Lepisosteus oculatus: one gene and its partner. The protein of the gene in region 1 interacts with the protein of each later gene in a biochemical or structural test. Links are inferred from orthologs where the notes say so. Each region holds a gene or a part of one and is shown on either strand. Other genes may lie near its edges.

Region 1 (7,794 bases):
CATATTTTAGTTTGAGGCCCACAAAAGGTTCCTAAAGGTCTGAAAGACGCCTTGTAATACCATCAACATTTTTACAGCTGTTCAGCAGTTAATAGCTTTTTTGGAGACTGTGGGAATTAGTAATTCATTTAAACCAAAATACAGTGGAAATTTATGCATCTGCCTACAGCACAAAACCTATTTCTAGAACTCATTACAAGGCCTGTGTGTTCTTTCTTTATACTCATGTGCATGGTGAAAACCAATTTCATAGAAGAACAAATCTGAGAAAAACAAAATGCTAAGCTCCAACCATGTCTTTCAACAACTGGAAGAAATTTCACATTGATTGAAAACCGTTCCTGTCGACAATGTCTAATTCCAACAAAGACTGTCATAACTAAACTGAGGAGCAGACAAGTGTCGAATTATGTACATAGTATTTTGATTATGTCAAGGCATGCCCCAATAGTACAGCCAGGAGCCAGGATTCAGTATCCAGCTGGCGAGACAAGCAGGTCTCTGCTCAGTGCCCCTGCTGTCTTAGTGGAAAGCAAGGCCTGTGATTTTCTCTGCTTATGGGGATTCGGACTGATCCCATCTCTGTCTCTCCTCACTACACTGGAAACCAAGAAATGTGTTTGCAACTCAATCTAAAAAGAAAAAAGCACTTCATGTCTCTATAACAGTCTGTGGTAAACTTCTTGTAGGAAGAGTGGTAATGCCTTGCCTTTTGCGAGACTACTGTACATATGTGATTGAAGCACAGTCTTGGCCTACTGTTTGGCCTGGAAAGTACCACTAACCTGAAGGAAAAGCAGCTTTAGGTATCCAATTACATATAGGTCCGTGGTGCTATCCAGCCTCTAATTCAACTATCCGCAAAATCAGTTTTACCGTTAACAAAGTGGAGCACTTTATAGCAGTACTGCAGCACTTCACCTATAATTACCTGAAAATGCACTCATCGTAATCCAGATCTACCTAAAGGAGCGATGCACATTAACTACTGAGAAAACGCAAAGATCATTTCTCGTTCCACAGACAAGAGAATTTAAACAAGATCAAACGCCTCTGCCATCGCCGGTGATGATGTGCCCGGAGGACCTCGCTGATAATCGATAGATGTTTTCGCCCTGCTAGTGGAAGTGTCAAGTCAACCGCGTTTCTGTCGAGGAGGTACCCAAGGCAGCAGGCCTGGGGATGGGAGCCGCACGGTTTACCTGCTGGACCCACAGATACTCACAGACCGCCGATGCCAAGCTGTGAAATGACATTCCCAAACGACACGACATGAATGTTTAGCCACCTTTTGGAAAACACGACGACAGACTGGAAAGGGTCCCTGTCGATATATAAATCCACCGCCGATTATTTTAAATTGATCCTTTCCGTGTTTTACTGACCGTAGGCAACACATCCATCTTTTTAAACCCACACCGATTATAAACCCGCTATTTGCAATTCTAAGACTTACTAAAGACGACATCTACGCATATTTTACAACACATTTCTTCTCGCTGGCTAAATTAGCCAAACCTACCCCCACCCCCACCACACGTTTATCAACCTCGATTCTGGCTAAATGACAGCATATTTCCAGACCTTTAAGCATTTAATTTGGCCACACAATACAGAGACACGTACCTACTGGTTTTCTGCAGGTTGCTGATGCAATGTCTCTTTGTGTAGCAGTGATTTTGAATTTAATCTAATCCATTCCCTTATCTAGGCCAAGACCTCGTCACACTGCGAAAGAGAATGGGCTCCTTTTCCGTTTCATTTATCGCTTCTCCACCGCACTAAAACGCACATCCGCGCCGCTTTTTCTGAAAGAAAACGGCGTTTTACCCGCACAATGCTCCAGTGCGATCAGGAACCGTTTTAATGTCCACTTACAGCGAAATGTGAAAGCTCTCCGGCCATAAGAGCTGCAACTATCCAGATCTCGTCCACATCCCACTTACCTCTATTTAAAAAAAGACCTCGACTCAAAAACATTATATTCCACTCAACATGAATCGGATCTCAGCCCCCTATACCTAAGAATAATGTTTAAAATGCCGACACGCATGCATGTATATGCATACTTAAAATATGTATAAAATGGATACAGGTCAAGTCCAAGTCGAATCCATCTTCCTGGTATCTCCTTTTGTTTCTGCTGACGATTTCTTTGATGATCGCAGCCATCGCCGTGAAAGGAGTCTTTAGGGCTTGTATGTTAAGAGAGGGTATCGTTGCCTCCCCGGGCTGTGGAAAGGGCCGTCCCCCGGTCTCCCCCGCTCGCTCCCCGGGTCTCGCAGTTGCCCGAGTGTGGCGGCTGCCTGCGGCTGCGGGCTGGACTAGAATGGCTGCTGGCAGGGCCTCCTCTCGCCGCTCCTCCGCGGGCCCGGCTTCCCCGATCCCGCAATCTCTCCCGCGATCCCCCAGTTCCCGAACCGTGAGCTTTCAAATACGGCCCAAGTCTCTAGATCCGCCGCCGCCGCCGTGATTGAGGCGAAGAAAAGCGGAGAGAAAGCCTCTCCAGCGATCCCGAAAAAATAACCCCGAAAAATTGTGACAAGACACACACAAAATATATATATTAAAATCCCCCCCCCCCCCCAGAAACCCTCCAAGCACACAATATCCTCGTCCTCGTCCAAAACACCAGGGAAAAAAAACTGACAGCCTCCACCTTAAAATTTAAAAAATATATATAATAAAAGGGGCTTAAAATATTTTAATATATATAGAGACGATCTTCCTTCCTTTTTTTCCGTCCTCTCCAGCAAAAAAAACTCTAAAGTTCCATCATGGCTTCCGAGAGAAAAAGACAAACTGGGTTACACCATATATCCTGCCGCCGTGCACAAATAGTCCTGCTGTGGCTGTGATTTTACCACCGCTTTAATCGCAGGTGTCCCGATCACGCAACAGAGAAACCGGCAACGGAAAAATGTGTCCCGAAAATAAATATTTCGCATTTAAACCCGACGTAGTGCGCCTCGTTGACATACTACTAGCGGCTACAGTGAGGGCGGAAGGACACACAGGCACACCGCAGGGAAACTCTCCTCTCTGCCAAGGGCAGGTCACGTGTGCTGGTAATTGGGGAAGTTTCCAATATTTTATTTCTTTGCTTCGCGCTAATAATTGAGGTTCTTTTTTTACAATTAGGAGGCCAGGGATTTGCTGACATACGTAAAAACGTCCAATTGTTTCTGAAGTCTATCAGAGATAATTATTACAAGCGTCTGCGAAGTGTTCTGTGTGAGCGAGGAACAAAAACATTACATAATAACGAAAATAAATGGCATCAATGAAAAAAAAATCACAGATAACTTAGCTAGCAGTGACACCCAGTACAACTTGTAAAGTGCTTACGCAAGCAAGAAAAGTAAAATCAGATCAAGTAAACCAGTCCAAGCCAGGCGTGTCACTTAGTAGCACACACAGTCATCTGTGGCACTGTCTTCCAGCATATAATATATATAAGTCCAAAAAATAAAATAGAGACATGAACCTATACATCTACAGTCCGAGGTCCAAGAGATGTGCTTTAAAAGCACATACTCGTTATTTGGGTTTTATTTTTTGTAGAACGTTCTAGTGAACGACATAGGGGTAAAGACTTATGCCATGGCGCCACCTTTCAGGTTATACGGGAATGACACGTTGAAACAAGACCGGCTGCTTTTTCCTGTCCTGGAGTTTGACGGGGTCAAGAATCTCACTGGTTTGACGTGTTAAAGACTTTAAAGCGATGTGGGAACGTTATCTCTTGACGTTGTTAGCTAAACATGTCTAAAACGCTAGTCCCAGCACCTGTTAAGAGCACAAATAAAATATGTTAAGGTCCTTACTGTGGTTGAAGAGACTTTGGCTTAATTTTTAGATTTGTTTTCAATTGTTTCTTTTGGCATTGTATTGTTATTTTTTATAGCTAGAGAAAGAAAACATAAATAAACCAGTAAATGTTTTAGATCTGCATTCGCCTACAGTATTTATTATTTGAAGTGAAAACACCATTACTCCATGTTCCTTGGTTACAATAACTTATAAATGCAAGTTTAAGGTTTGTGTTGCTTGGGGTTAGTGTTAGGATGGGAATACTTTATATGTCAAATATATCAAATATAAGGGGTTACATTATGGGAATCATGCAGACAACAACTAAACATGCAAACATTAATGTCAGAAAAGTTTAATCCAATTGTTCAGTAATGTTTATTTATCACTTTTATACCAGTTGGACTTAAACAATCCTTTTTTGTTGAGAATTAGTTATTGCAAACAAACTGAGAGAATTTATAAAACAAATCAAAATGCAACCATTCTACAATTTATTTAAACTTAAACTGCTTGTGTATAAGCACGTTTAAAATAAATGTAAATAAACTGATATTTTTATCTAGAGACTGATCATTATCAGTTGCTAAATTCTTTTAACCTATGGAAGTGCTTGCACTACTATATGGCAATAAATTGCTATATCATTTTTTTTGATGTGAGAAATTCATTTTTCATATTCCCACCTTGGCTTTTCTGGAACAAAAACTGTTTACAAGCTGATAACTCATTTTTGCTCTCATAGTGAGATGGGAGTATTTGTAGGCTAACACAAATCCATGTGACGTTATAACTTTAAAATAAAAAACAATGATTCTCAAAAACTGCCATTCAAGAATGTAACTCACAGCATTTAAATTGATTTCCAGTACTACCTAAAAGACCTTTATCAAATGTAGCTGAGATCTGAAAAAAAAATGATACTGTATATAAATGGAATACCAATTCACTAATACACAGGAAACACCCTGACCTTGTGAAAGCCATGCAGGTAGGCAAAAAAGTTGGAAAACCCTGCTGATAGAAGAGCTTTCTGAATTATCAAGGACATTGTTTTACTTGCTCAGCTGGTATGTTCTTTCTGAGTTTCCCGTCTGAGGAAATTCAGAAGTCCTAATTACATGGAAAGGAGCACAGAGAAACTTGTTTTTCAAATACTTGTTTTAGGTTTTGCAAATCAAGCGTACAGACAAATCACCAAATAAAGTGGAAAGAGATTTGTACATCTTCATAATTCTCTAATATGCATTATGGGAATGTAGACCTCATTGATGAACCTAAAAAAAACCCAAACAAGACAAGGTCATTCAACCCATCAAGCCCATTTGATAGTAGACAATCCAGAGGTCTCAGCCAGACATTTTTGAATGAAGTCAGGTTATTGGCTTCAACAGCGTGTTCCAGGCTTTGCCAGAGGGATATCCAAAGGTATGAAAATCGTGTCAAAAATCCACAAGAAACCATGAAGGACAAAATGTTTTCCATAGAGGACACAAAACATGTTTTGCATATAGACGCAATTCATAGGGATCTTAACATATATATGTGTAAGGTTGATACTATAACATTTCTTTTTTTGCATGTTCGGTAAATCATCTGAGACAGCTATGACTGACTAAGGCAATACTACAGCTCACCTGTTCATGTCTAGACATGTCAAGATCTTCTCTATTATTTTCATAGCCACCATAGGCCACTTAATTGAAGGTTATTAGCCATGGTACAAGAACAGTTCTAATTGAAGGTCATATTTGACACTTCTGTATTAAGCAGCAAAAATTATTTTAATGTTATCTAATAAGATCAAAACCATCAGAACTTTTATCTGTATTAAATGCAGGTCAATCTCAGTGCATTTTGTGAACAGCTGCTGTTAAGTATTTTCTGTGCTCTCTCAGCTCTTAGAAGAAACTATATTCAAACCCTAAAAGAGAAACAGAATGATCTAAGATTTAGATGCAAAGCTTTTCAGACTATATTTTTAGATTGGCTCTTCATCTTATTTAGGAAAAGCTGAATATAAGCCATATCAGTAGTTTGAAAAATAACCAGACTGAGAGATACAGTAGTTGTTGAGTCCCAGTGGAACAAATGTTGAAATTTTATCATTAATCATTACCGACCCCTAATAGGGAATTGCGTGGTTTGGTATTGGCATGGTCAAAATGGGAAGATTTACTGTTTTGACTAAATTTATTGGATTTCTTTAAATCTCTGATTAGCAAAGAAAAGGAAACTCATGTTAGCATTTGCATTTTTCTTTCAACTTTATTTGTAAAAAAATCTAATACAGATTATACAGTGGCTGTTTTCCTCTGTAATTATCATTTCAGTGCCTAGTTAATACTCAAAGTACAATTAGTGTATTTAAATGGGATTACCTGGAACACCATGGCTCAGATGAACTGATCCTCAGGAAAGCTTATTGGAAATATTTTTATACTATAAGGCCTTCCTATCATTCCTATCAGCTGCTTTGGGGACTGAGAAGGCATTGCATTTAGTGAATTATGTCTCTGACATGAAATCTCTTTATTGTCACTTTATTGATTTGAACTTTGTAAAACCTTTAACACCTGGCTTTAAAAGTGGTTTACATGCATCATATTATATAAAACTATTTCTATTTATGAATACTTGTCAGTTATCTTAAAATATTAACAGTTTGCATGAAATTGTCTGGACTTTTCTTCTGTGTAGTAAACAATTAAAGGAAATGCCATTGAGAAGTTCCCTCATCATACATGGACTTGTACGTGGTAAGGGCTGTGGCAACCTTTAGCAGAAGCTGGTAGCAGAGATCACAAGGCAGGACCATACCCTGACCAGCCCACTGCAGGGCACACACAAGAATGACTTAGAGTTAACCACTATCAGCATGTTTTGGGGGAAATGGCAGGAGAACAGTTGCTCTTGCAGAAGGCAGAACATGCAAACTCCACACAGAAGGCGGAATCAAACCCAGAACCGCAACAGCTGTGAAGAAGAAAAAGTTCACCAACCATGTCGCAGTGCTGCCCAAGCTCAGAACACACAGGTTATTTTTTTGTTGGTGAGCAATTATGCCATAATGTGACTTTTCTGCTTAAATACATTGACTGGTTTCCATGTGATTAGCAGGTTCAGAAAAGATATGTCAACACTACAGCAGGAACATAAAAAAAGATGATCATAAAAAATTATATTGTATATGTACAACATCTAACTCACTTATGCAAATGTTCAGATAATCATACTTTGATTTTCTTTCTTCAAGAATGTGTGGTGTACAATATAAAATTAAATAATCTGATAGATCAAAACTGAATTGTTATATGTAGTATATACACTATATTGCTATATATTATATAGTATAAAGTAAAATAGTACAGATTTTATATTTATATTTACAAAACGTAAATAACTGTATCATATTGTTGTATCATGTACTGTATGTGTATGAATGCACATATGCTGTATATGAAGGAACAAGTAAAGGTTTATTCCGTGCTGAAAAGAAAAGAGACACCGTTTTGGCTGTGGAGCCTTCTATAGGTGTCTGTATATTAATGTACTGTATGTGCATAATATGTATGAATATATCTACTGTATATGAATGCTATGCTCTAATTATAGATTTTCCTGATTTTTAAAACCTGTGACCAGTAGAGTTTGAAGAGCTCAGACTTTATTTCGGCACACTCCACGCATATACTGTACGCCTGTACTGACAGTCAGTGGCGTAACATGGGCAACACATTTTTGAAGTTAGTGCAATTCTAAATTTAAATATCGTCGAGATTAAAACGTCACCTGTTTCTTATGTTCTTTACAAAATGTAAGTGAATTGAGGAGAGGTGGGTTTCGTATTTGAACTTCAGATCTACAGGTGACGTAAATAATTATAGTATTGTAACGCTTACGGCCGACAGGCACTGTGTAAGAGCCGGCGTACCAGAGCGGGTGACGTCACCGCCCTTCCCTGTGATAGCAGGACCACAG
Region 2 (7,871 bases), on another chromosome or scaffold:
TGTGCCAATAGGTGGCACTCTCCCATCTAGACCAGATTTCCAAACTCTCTGAAGTGATATCATGTCAAAAACGGGTCATTGTTCTGTAGGAAGTACCCCTTCAGTCTGAACCCGGGTCTCTGCAGTCCGAAATCCAGTCTGGAATTGGGGACCCCTGAGCTTGAAGGAAAATCGGAGGTTTTGTCAGGACCATGTTGGATATTGTGCAGTAGCAGGGATATTAATCCCCAGTTTGGAGACCAAATATAAAAGGGTTACAAAATCTGTAATACCTGAAGTCCACATCTGTACCTTAATTAAGGTTGATGTCTGTATCCAGCCTCCCCTAGAGACCCATACTAACCAGGTCTTGCTCCGTGGTGAAAGAGGAGTTTAATTGTCACGGAGGATGTGATCGTGAGTTTCACTTTGCCCTGGACACGCCCATGAGGCAGCGCGGGTTGGCTCGGTGTGGTAAACAGTTCCACATGGGGGGTGTGTTGAAGGAATGAGTCTGCTAGTGATAATCTGCTTCGAGCCCCCAGAGTGGCTCATGCTGTGAAGGTGCTCACCTGTCTGCAGGCTGGGCCCCACGATCACGGGTTCGAGCCGGGGGTCACACCACCAGCCCAGCATGACTGGGATTCGCAGAGGGTGGGGTGGGACTGAGTCTGTGGGCACCACAGCGCCTCCTGTGGCCTCCTGGGGCGCTTGCAGGCCTGCGGTGCGGTCAGCGAGGGGACGTGCCTCCTCCAGTCGGCACTGGCCCTGCAGGGCGGGGCGGTGCTGCCTGTGACGTGTTCAAACACGAGGGGCTCAAACGGCCGGGGGGGGGATCCCCCTGCTCTTCCTCACGCTCCCCCGTGTGCAGTCACAGGGCAGCTGGCGATTCTAAACTAGGCGGGCAAAACCAAATTAATCTCTGAAGAGGAAAGCTGACAGTCAGCTTGTAGATGGACCCGTGCAGAACCAAGAGGTTCCTCTGTCCAACGTCCCGGGTCTGTCCGTCTCTCTCCTTCAGCACCCCATCACCCGGTGGATCGTCCGGAACTTCTACGACCCGCCAGAGAAGGACTACGAGAAGATGATGGCTTTGATCCAGATTGAGGCGGAAAAGGCCGAGCTGAGGTCAGTGGCGGCGTGGAGACTGGGGAGCCCCTCCGCTCTCTGAAGCGGCTCCGTGGAGCTTGTCCCCCCTGCTCAGCTCGGCGAGGGGTCTGACTGAGCGGGCTCTCCCTTCTTTGATACTTCAATACTGCCCGTGACATCGAGAAGTAAAATCCCTGTAGCAGTTATTGTTTCATGCCCTTAGCAGACCCCTTGTCATCGTCCTTGTGTTTTGGGGGAGTCCTGGCTGACGTTGGTGTCTGTGTGTGATTGCGCGTGCCTGAGGGGGGCCCCTCGGCCCATCGTTGTTCCGGCTGTCCCGGCGGGGGGCGGGGGGCGGGGGGACCCACTCTCCAAGAGTAACGCGTTGCCTTTGCTTGCGCCACAGGCTGAAGCAGCAGGAGGTGCGCAGGCACATGCGCCAGAAGGGCGACGGGCCCTGGTTCCAGGTGGAGACCATGGACAAGCAGCTGATTGACTACTCCCACAAGGCCACGCCCGACAACTGAGGCAGCGCCGGCCTTCCGCGAGCCGCAGAGACCGCCGCCTGCTCGCCCGCTCGGCGGGGGCATGCCAGTAATTTATCCCCTGTATATGTTTGTATAATAATGCTCTGGCTTTAAATAAAGCCTTTTCAATGTTTCAGCTTTGTTTAAGAGTGCTGTTTAAAACTGTGATCCCCTGTGGTCCCTGTCCTGCTGACCCGGTTCTGCTCCATCCAAACCCTCAGGTCTACAGTCAAGTCTTCATTCACTTAATATGGGGCGGAGCGGTGGCTCTGTGGCTAGGGATCTGCCTGTGGCTGGAAGGTTGCTGGTTTGTTACCTTAATCCATTGAGCGCCTGAGCAAGGGCCTTAACTCCAACTGCTCCAGGGGCGCTGTATAAACGGCTGACCCTACCCTCTGACCCCCAGCTTCTCTCCCTGTCTGTGTGTCTCATGGAGAGCAAGCTGGGGTCTGCGAAAAGACAAATTCCTAACACAAGAAATTGTATACGGCCAATAAAGTGATCTTATCTTAATAGTTAATTTGAACTGTGTCCAACTCTTACACACATTCAAGCTTTAACCAACATTGCCTTTTTCGAGAGATTTACATTCTCAAGCTTGTGACTACTAACAACACGCCAATGTTGAACTGGAGCAGCTCCTTGTTGATCCAGTAAGGCCTCAGTTATCTGCTGGAGGTGGGAGGGACTGAAACCCAGCAGGTGTGGGGCTCACCAGGACCAGCACTGGGATCTACTAGATTAAAGAGAGAAAACTATTCATTTTAAAAAGATTTAGAACGTTTCCTTTCATTTTTGAGCTGGTCATTTTTTTTTCTCCCAGGAAGTGATGGCAGTTTTGTCTTTGTGTTCTTAAGGAGATGGCCACCTGCTCTGCCCACATGTCTTTTGTCAATTAGATGTGATGCTCAGGGTCTATTACAGGGGTGCCCAACCTTTTTTTTTTAATGAAAGATTTACTTTTTCATGTGCCAGTCCCGCGCGAACTACCAGTGTGAATTTGAAGCTCTGATATAGGAAAAACAGACTGTGGACACATCAGTACAATAACTATACCCATCACTAAAATGACAGCAATTAAAAGCAAGTGACTCAGGCTACAGTGAACAAGTCATGTTCCCCATTTTAGAAAAAAAATATCCTACCTTCATGTCAGCATTGACACTGAGAAGCTTACTTGAGGACACTTGTAATCGTTTTTTTGAGCGTGTTGACACTGCTGATCGTGTCGAAGACACTTTTATTGTGTCCCTGCAGCTCGACATTCAGCTCATTCGGCAGTTCAGTCAAGTCTGGGAGGACTGCTAAGCCCAGAAGCCACTGGTCGCCCTCTCATTGGGCACATTCACCGTGTTTAGACTATTTGAGAAACTCTCATTTCAGGCAATAGCTGTCTGTCTGTGAAATCTCCAAACAGCAAGTCAGCAGCAGCGATGATTGCTGGTTTCCCTCCAGTGTTAGGCCACGTTAAAACCAACTGCCGCTAGTTGAGATTTTAATTTTTCAACTTTTTTCCGTAACTCACTTTTAGTGGGGAAAGCACACATCTTACATTTTGTGTGCAGTTTTGAAATGTGGTTCTCTTGTTTCCCTTTTTCGCGTAGACGCTAGCTTTGCAGATTTGAATGCGAAAGTACAAAAAAATAATCGCGCCCCCATTCCTCGTGGTGAGGGTAAGTCTTCGGGCTCTTTGCTTCATCGTATTCGCTCAAACACTACAACTATCATAAAAAGGGCAATCTAACTCCTCAAACTGTTGGCGAATTTGTCACGGCCATTTGTCTGGTTCGCTCCACCATGTGCTGTGGCGAATGTGGGGTTCGTGCAGCAATAGCCAAGGGAGGGGTCTCGGGGAGCCCACCCAACACTACAGAGCACCTGTAGCCTTTTCTTCAGTGTGGGCCAGCACTCAGGGAAGAGACTCTTACAACCCATTCCACAAGGGTTAAGCACAAGCAAGGGCAGTAAAATGTATGACATTACATGCACAGATCTGAATGAATTTTTAGGCTATCTAAAAAAGTAGTCAAATAGCCCATTTATTTGATACCACACATTCTTGCGATCGACTGGTTGGGCACCCCCTGGTCAATTACCCAAGAAATGCAAAACAGGCACTTAGAACTGATCTTTACTTTATCCGAGGAGAGCGACACTCTGGAAAGCTCGATAATCCAAAAAGATCATCATTAACACACAACTGAGTGAGAGAAGCCCTAAACCAGACTCGTGGTTGTGGCGCTGAAGCTGTGAGATGCTGCTGTCTGGTTGGTCACTGGCTTTCTTTGTCTGGTGTCCAAGACATTTCTGGGAAAGCAGTCTGCTCCTCTGTGTGATCAGCAGGAAACAGGTGAATATCGGGTCGGATGTGAAATTTTCATGCAGCTCGTAACAAGCCCTGTCCCCACGCCCACCTTGGACTCGACGTCTGATCCACCCGAGGTTCAGCAGAATCGATTTACACTTTCATATATGTTCGGTGCTTTAAAAGACGTGTTGACTTCAGGTCAGCCGGGTCCGAGGAAGCGGAGTCGATTCGGGGCGTGTTCGTCCAGTCCATCTGAAGGTCTGCTCTCTTTGGGGGGGCGTAATTCGCACAAAGGACAATCGGGTATTTAAGATAAAAAAAAGGTCGAACGCTGTTTTACAAAACACCTTATACGGGCAGGTCATCTTACCCCCCACCTCACGTGAGCTAATCGCTAATCAATGACCAGTGACCGCGATGAAGGAGTTAAAAAAATTGTAACATATCCTCCGTTAGAACCTCTTGCCTCTTTATAACCTTCTTACCTGCTTTATTCGTCGGGTTTCAGCACCGTCCGGCGCTGCTATATTGTATATTGTCGCATAACCCCGCCATGCGGAATTTGCAACCTCATCTGAGCGGTGACCAATTTCGTTTTGAAGCTTTAAAGGACCGTTTCCACGCCGCGGGCGGGCGGGCTTCGTCGGTTTTGTCACGCACCGTCGCCAAATTGATTACAAACGCCGAAACCTCGAGTCTCCTTTCAAACGACGCGCCTCCGCCGGGGAAGGTGGGAGACGCGGAATTGGGTAAATTGACAGTCGGCAGCGCCAAATTCACGGCGAAACAGAAATCGATGTAAACCCAATAGGGGGGTTAAGAAATACCGCCCGAGCACCTAATATATATATATACGTTCAATTTTAATCTCGCTCTCCTCCTCCCCCCTCGCTTCACAGCGTCACTCTCCCGGATCCTGCAGGAATGTCGGGTCTGTGTTCATTTAAAAATAGCATCATGTGCTAGCTGCTCTCCCAGACTTCCAGCTCCGTCTCCCTCGCTCGCGGTAGCATTCTGGGGCTGGAGGCAGGAATGCGAAGATGGCTGCAGACTTGGGAGAGCTGCTGGTCCCGTACATGCCCACCATCCGAGTCCCCAGGACCGGGGACCGGGTTTTCAAGAGCGAGTGCGCCTTCTCCTACGACTCCCCAGTAAGTGCTCGGCGGTGCCGCGCAGGCGGCCGTGCGGCCCCGCTGGACACACGTGAACCGCGCTGCGCACGGAGGGGGACCGGGGGTCCGTGTCCGTGTCCGTGTCCACCATTCTCTCGACCAGCTCGCAGCGCCGGCTGAAATAACTCACCCCGTCCTGCCCTCCCGGTCTCCCTGCCTTGAGCACTGCTAAGACGGCGGTTGTGCGATTCTCGGTTATCCCACCCCCCTAACAGTCTTTGGTTTTCGAGTGCGGGCACAGCTTTGAGTCCAAACTTCCTCCGCGGAGAGAGAGAGAGAGGGTTTTTCAGCACTGCCGCCGGAATGCGGTAGGGATCTGTAACTTCACGCATGCAGACTATAATGCGTTTTTTTTATTTTTGAGAGAGGCGCAGACAGCTTCCCCGAGTCGGTTTTGTTTTTGCTTTGTGATTTGTGATTTGACAGCGCCCTGCTCGTAAAGATTGAACGCTTTTCGAAAACGGGTCATCCGCAGCGCTTCTTCTGGGCTCAAATTTTCCTGGAGTGAGGGAGCCCCAAAGACGTGCCCGTTTCGTGTCTGGGCTGGCGAAACCCGCGTTCGCCTGCTCTTAGACGCGAAACAAGGCATGTGTTCTAGTTCTTCAGTATACAGCGGTGTAATGTCACCTTTTGTTGCAAAATGTCACGCTGAACATGAACGCTGAAAGGGACAGCATTTCCAGAGGAGCAAGGGAGGAGCAAGATTTAACCTTCAGGAACCACGTGTTGGGGAATATTAACCAAAACCAACACTTTATATAAGTCAGTTCAGTTTCTTGTGTTTTTAAGGACGTTGCCCTAACTTTCTATGTATTATTTTATAAGCTGGGGCAGATTTAAAGGTGACTCAGCTGTCAGGTACTCCTCATGTCGGCTGGAAAGCCTGGGCTATTTTTAATCTCTTTTTCAAATGGCTCATGTGTCGCCCACCCAACTCCATTAACCCTGGGGTCTCGTCCAGCTCGTCCAGCCTATCGCCACGAGGGACAGAAAGGAGAAAAAAAAACGATTGCGATGTTGTTTCCTTTACAAAAGAAACTTTAAAAAAAACTCGCAAGTCTTTTCTACCACAGGAGACTAGGACACATTAGAATAAATTAAGATGATTTCGGATGTATGGTGTAGTTAATTCGATAACTTCTCCTGTCCGGCCTTGTCTTGGTTACCAGGAGGGATTTATACTGAAACGCACATTACTGTGGGCTGTAAATCCTGTGGTAATCTGCTGAGGGCTTCACACCTGAGTTGCTGTTTTTTTAAATGTATGTTGTGGTTTCTATTGTAGGATTGAGCAGGTGCTCCTGGTTCTTTTTAAATGACAGGTGTTTCTTGGGTTTCGCTGAGATAAAAACATTCACAGTGGGCTGGAACAGATGTCTTGTAGCCACAACGTGTCCATGCGCTCATCCAGCCCTCTGGAAAAGAGTTGGTCAGGCACACTTTTCTGTTTTATAACAGGAGGACTGTTTTATTTCTAGAATGATTTAGGCACTTAAATCTCTGATACATATTCCTCTGCAGAATGAGGCACATTTACTGTCTAACTCAGCAAAGTTTCTTTGCATGTCAGCTGACTCTGAGCTAAGTGTTATGAGTTTTCATTCATCGTCCATCTGAAAATTTATCGATGAAGTCAACCCAGCAGACATCTTGAAAAGCGACCAGTGAAACCTGAATGGGTGCACCTGAGTGGAACTGTGAGTTTCCCCACTCTGATATTGAAGTTGGAAATGGCTGTAGCTCTGCTACATGGAAAATGGCTGAATTGATTGAATTAAGGTTTGACAACACCGACGTCTCCGCTTCTCAGTGGCCTTAAGCTGCTGATGAAGAGACAGAGGCGAGACAGGTTCCAGATTCCAGGAGGTTAAGTGCCAAACTAAACAGTTGGTCTTTCTTATAAATCTGTGTTGACTGTTTATTACAATCTGATTTCTAGACAGGTGATCCTCTCCTTTCGTTCTGAAACCATTTCCGTAACGTTTCATGTGCCGGGTGCTGGGTGTGGTGGTCAGTAATTTCCCCGAGTCAGTGTTTGTCACCCTCTGAGGGATGTGTGCTACGCTGCAGTACAGACCTTTGTCCTTCCGCTGCCGGAGGCCTGTTGTTGACGTCTTCTTCAGTGAATACTTGAATGAAATGCTCATTTAGTACATCAAGTTTCAAGTTCAAGTTTCAAGTTTATTGTCATTACACTCATATACATGGTATATGGTATAACGAAATGCTATTTAGCTAGCTCTCGGACATAAGTAGTACAAAGAGAAAAACAACAACAACAACAATACAATTGTGTAGCAAAAGAAAGACAGAGACAACAGGCAGTGTGCAAAAAACAATAACAGGCAATGTGCAAAACAACAACAAGGTAACAGGTTATGTGCAAAAATCTGCATCAACAGAATAAAATAAAGGGATAGAAATTAAATTACATCAGCCCCTGTCTAGAAGTTTCCTATTATTGTCTCGGGTATATTTTACTTCATCCTTGACATTTCTTTACCTGCTGTAACACTGAAGGAGCTCTTTATTCACCTTTTACTTTTTAGCTTCCATTAGAATATTCTTTTCAATTCTCTCTTGGCCTTTCTAATATCCTTTTACCCATGTGTTTGCAATTGATTGTGCTGCCTTACCTTAGCTAGATCCTGTTGTTTTTTTAATTGTTTCTCAGAGCACATTCTTTTCCTTTATTTTTCTAAGCCATTTGTTGAATCTTTCGGGATGGGATGTCATTTTTTGGCTCTTTCTCCAGTTCCGGGAGAGATTGAGTTCTGTGCTTGAAGCAGAATCTCT

What was found.
Region 2: the proteins of ptenb (region 1) and usp13 form a complex in vitro, tested with the Homo sapiens proteins (3 studies listed by BioGRID, with this or other methods). The link is inferred for Lepisosteus oculatus from reciprocal best matches to the Homo sapiens genes PTEN and USP13.

The regions. Positions count from the first base shown.
Region 1 is NC_090699.1:21,663,311-21,671,104, forward strand, and holds the start of ptenb (phosphatidylinositol 3,4,5-trisphosphate 3-phosphatase and dual-specificity protein phosphatase PTEN), read right to left. Parts: upstream 3,017-7,794; 5' UTR 2,173-3,016; coding exon 2,094-2,172; intron 1-2,093. UniProt on the Homo sapiens protein: Dual-specificity protein phosphatase, dephosphorylating tyrosine-, serine- and threonine-phosphorylated proteins.
Region 2 is NC_090708.1:1,728,359-1,736,229, forward strand, and holds the start of usp13 (ubiquitin carboxyl-terminal hydrolase 13), read left to right. Parts: upstream 1-4,853; 5' UTR 4,854-4,943; coding exon 4,944-5,054; intron 5,055-7,871. Other genes in the region: ndufb5 (NADH dehydrogenase [ubiquinone] 1 beta subcomplex subunit 5, mitochondrial), read left to right, coding at 1,001-1,107, 1,475-1,595. UniProt on the Homo sapiens protein: Deubiquitinase that mediates deubiquitination of target proteins such as BECN1, MITF, SKP2 and USP10 and is involved in various processes such as autophagy, endoplasmic reticulum-associated degradation (ERAD), cell cycle progression or DNA damage response.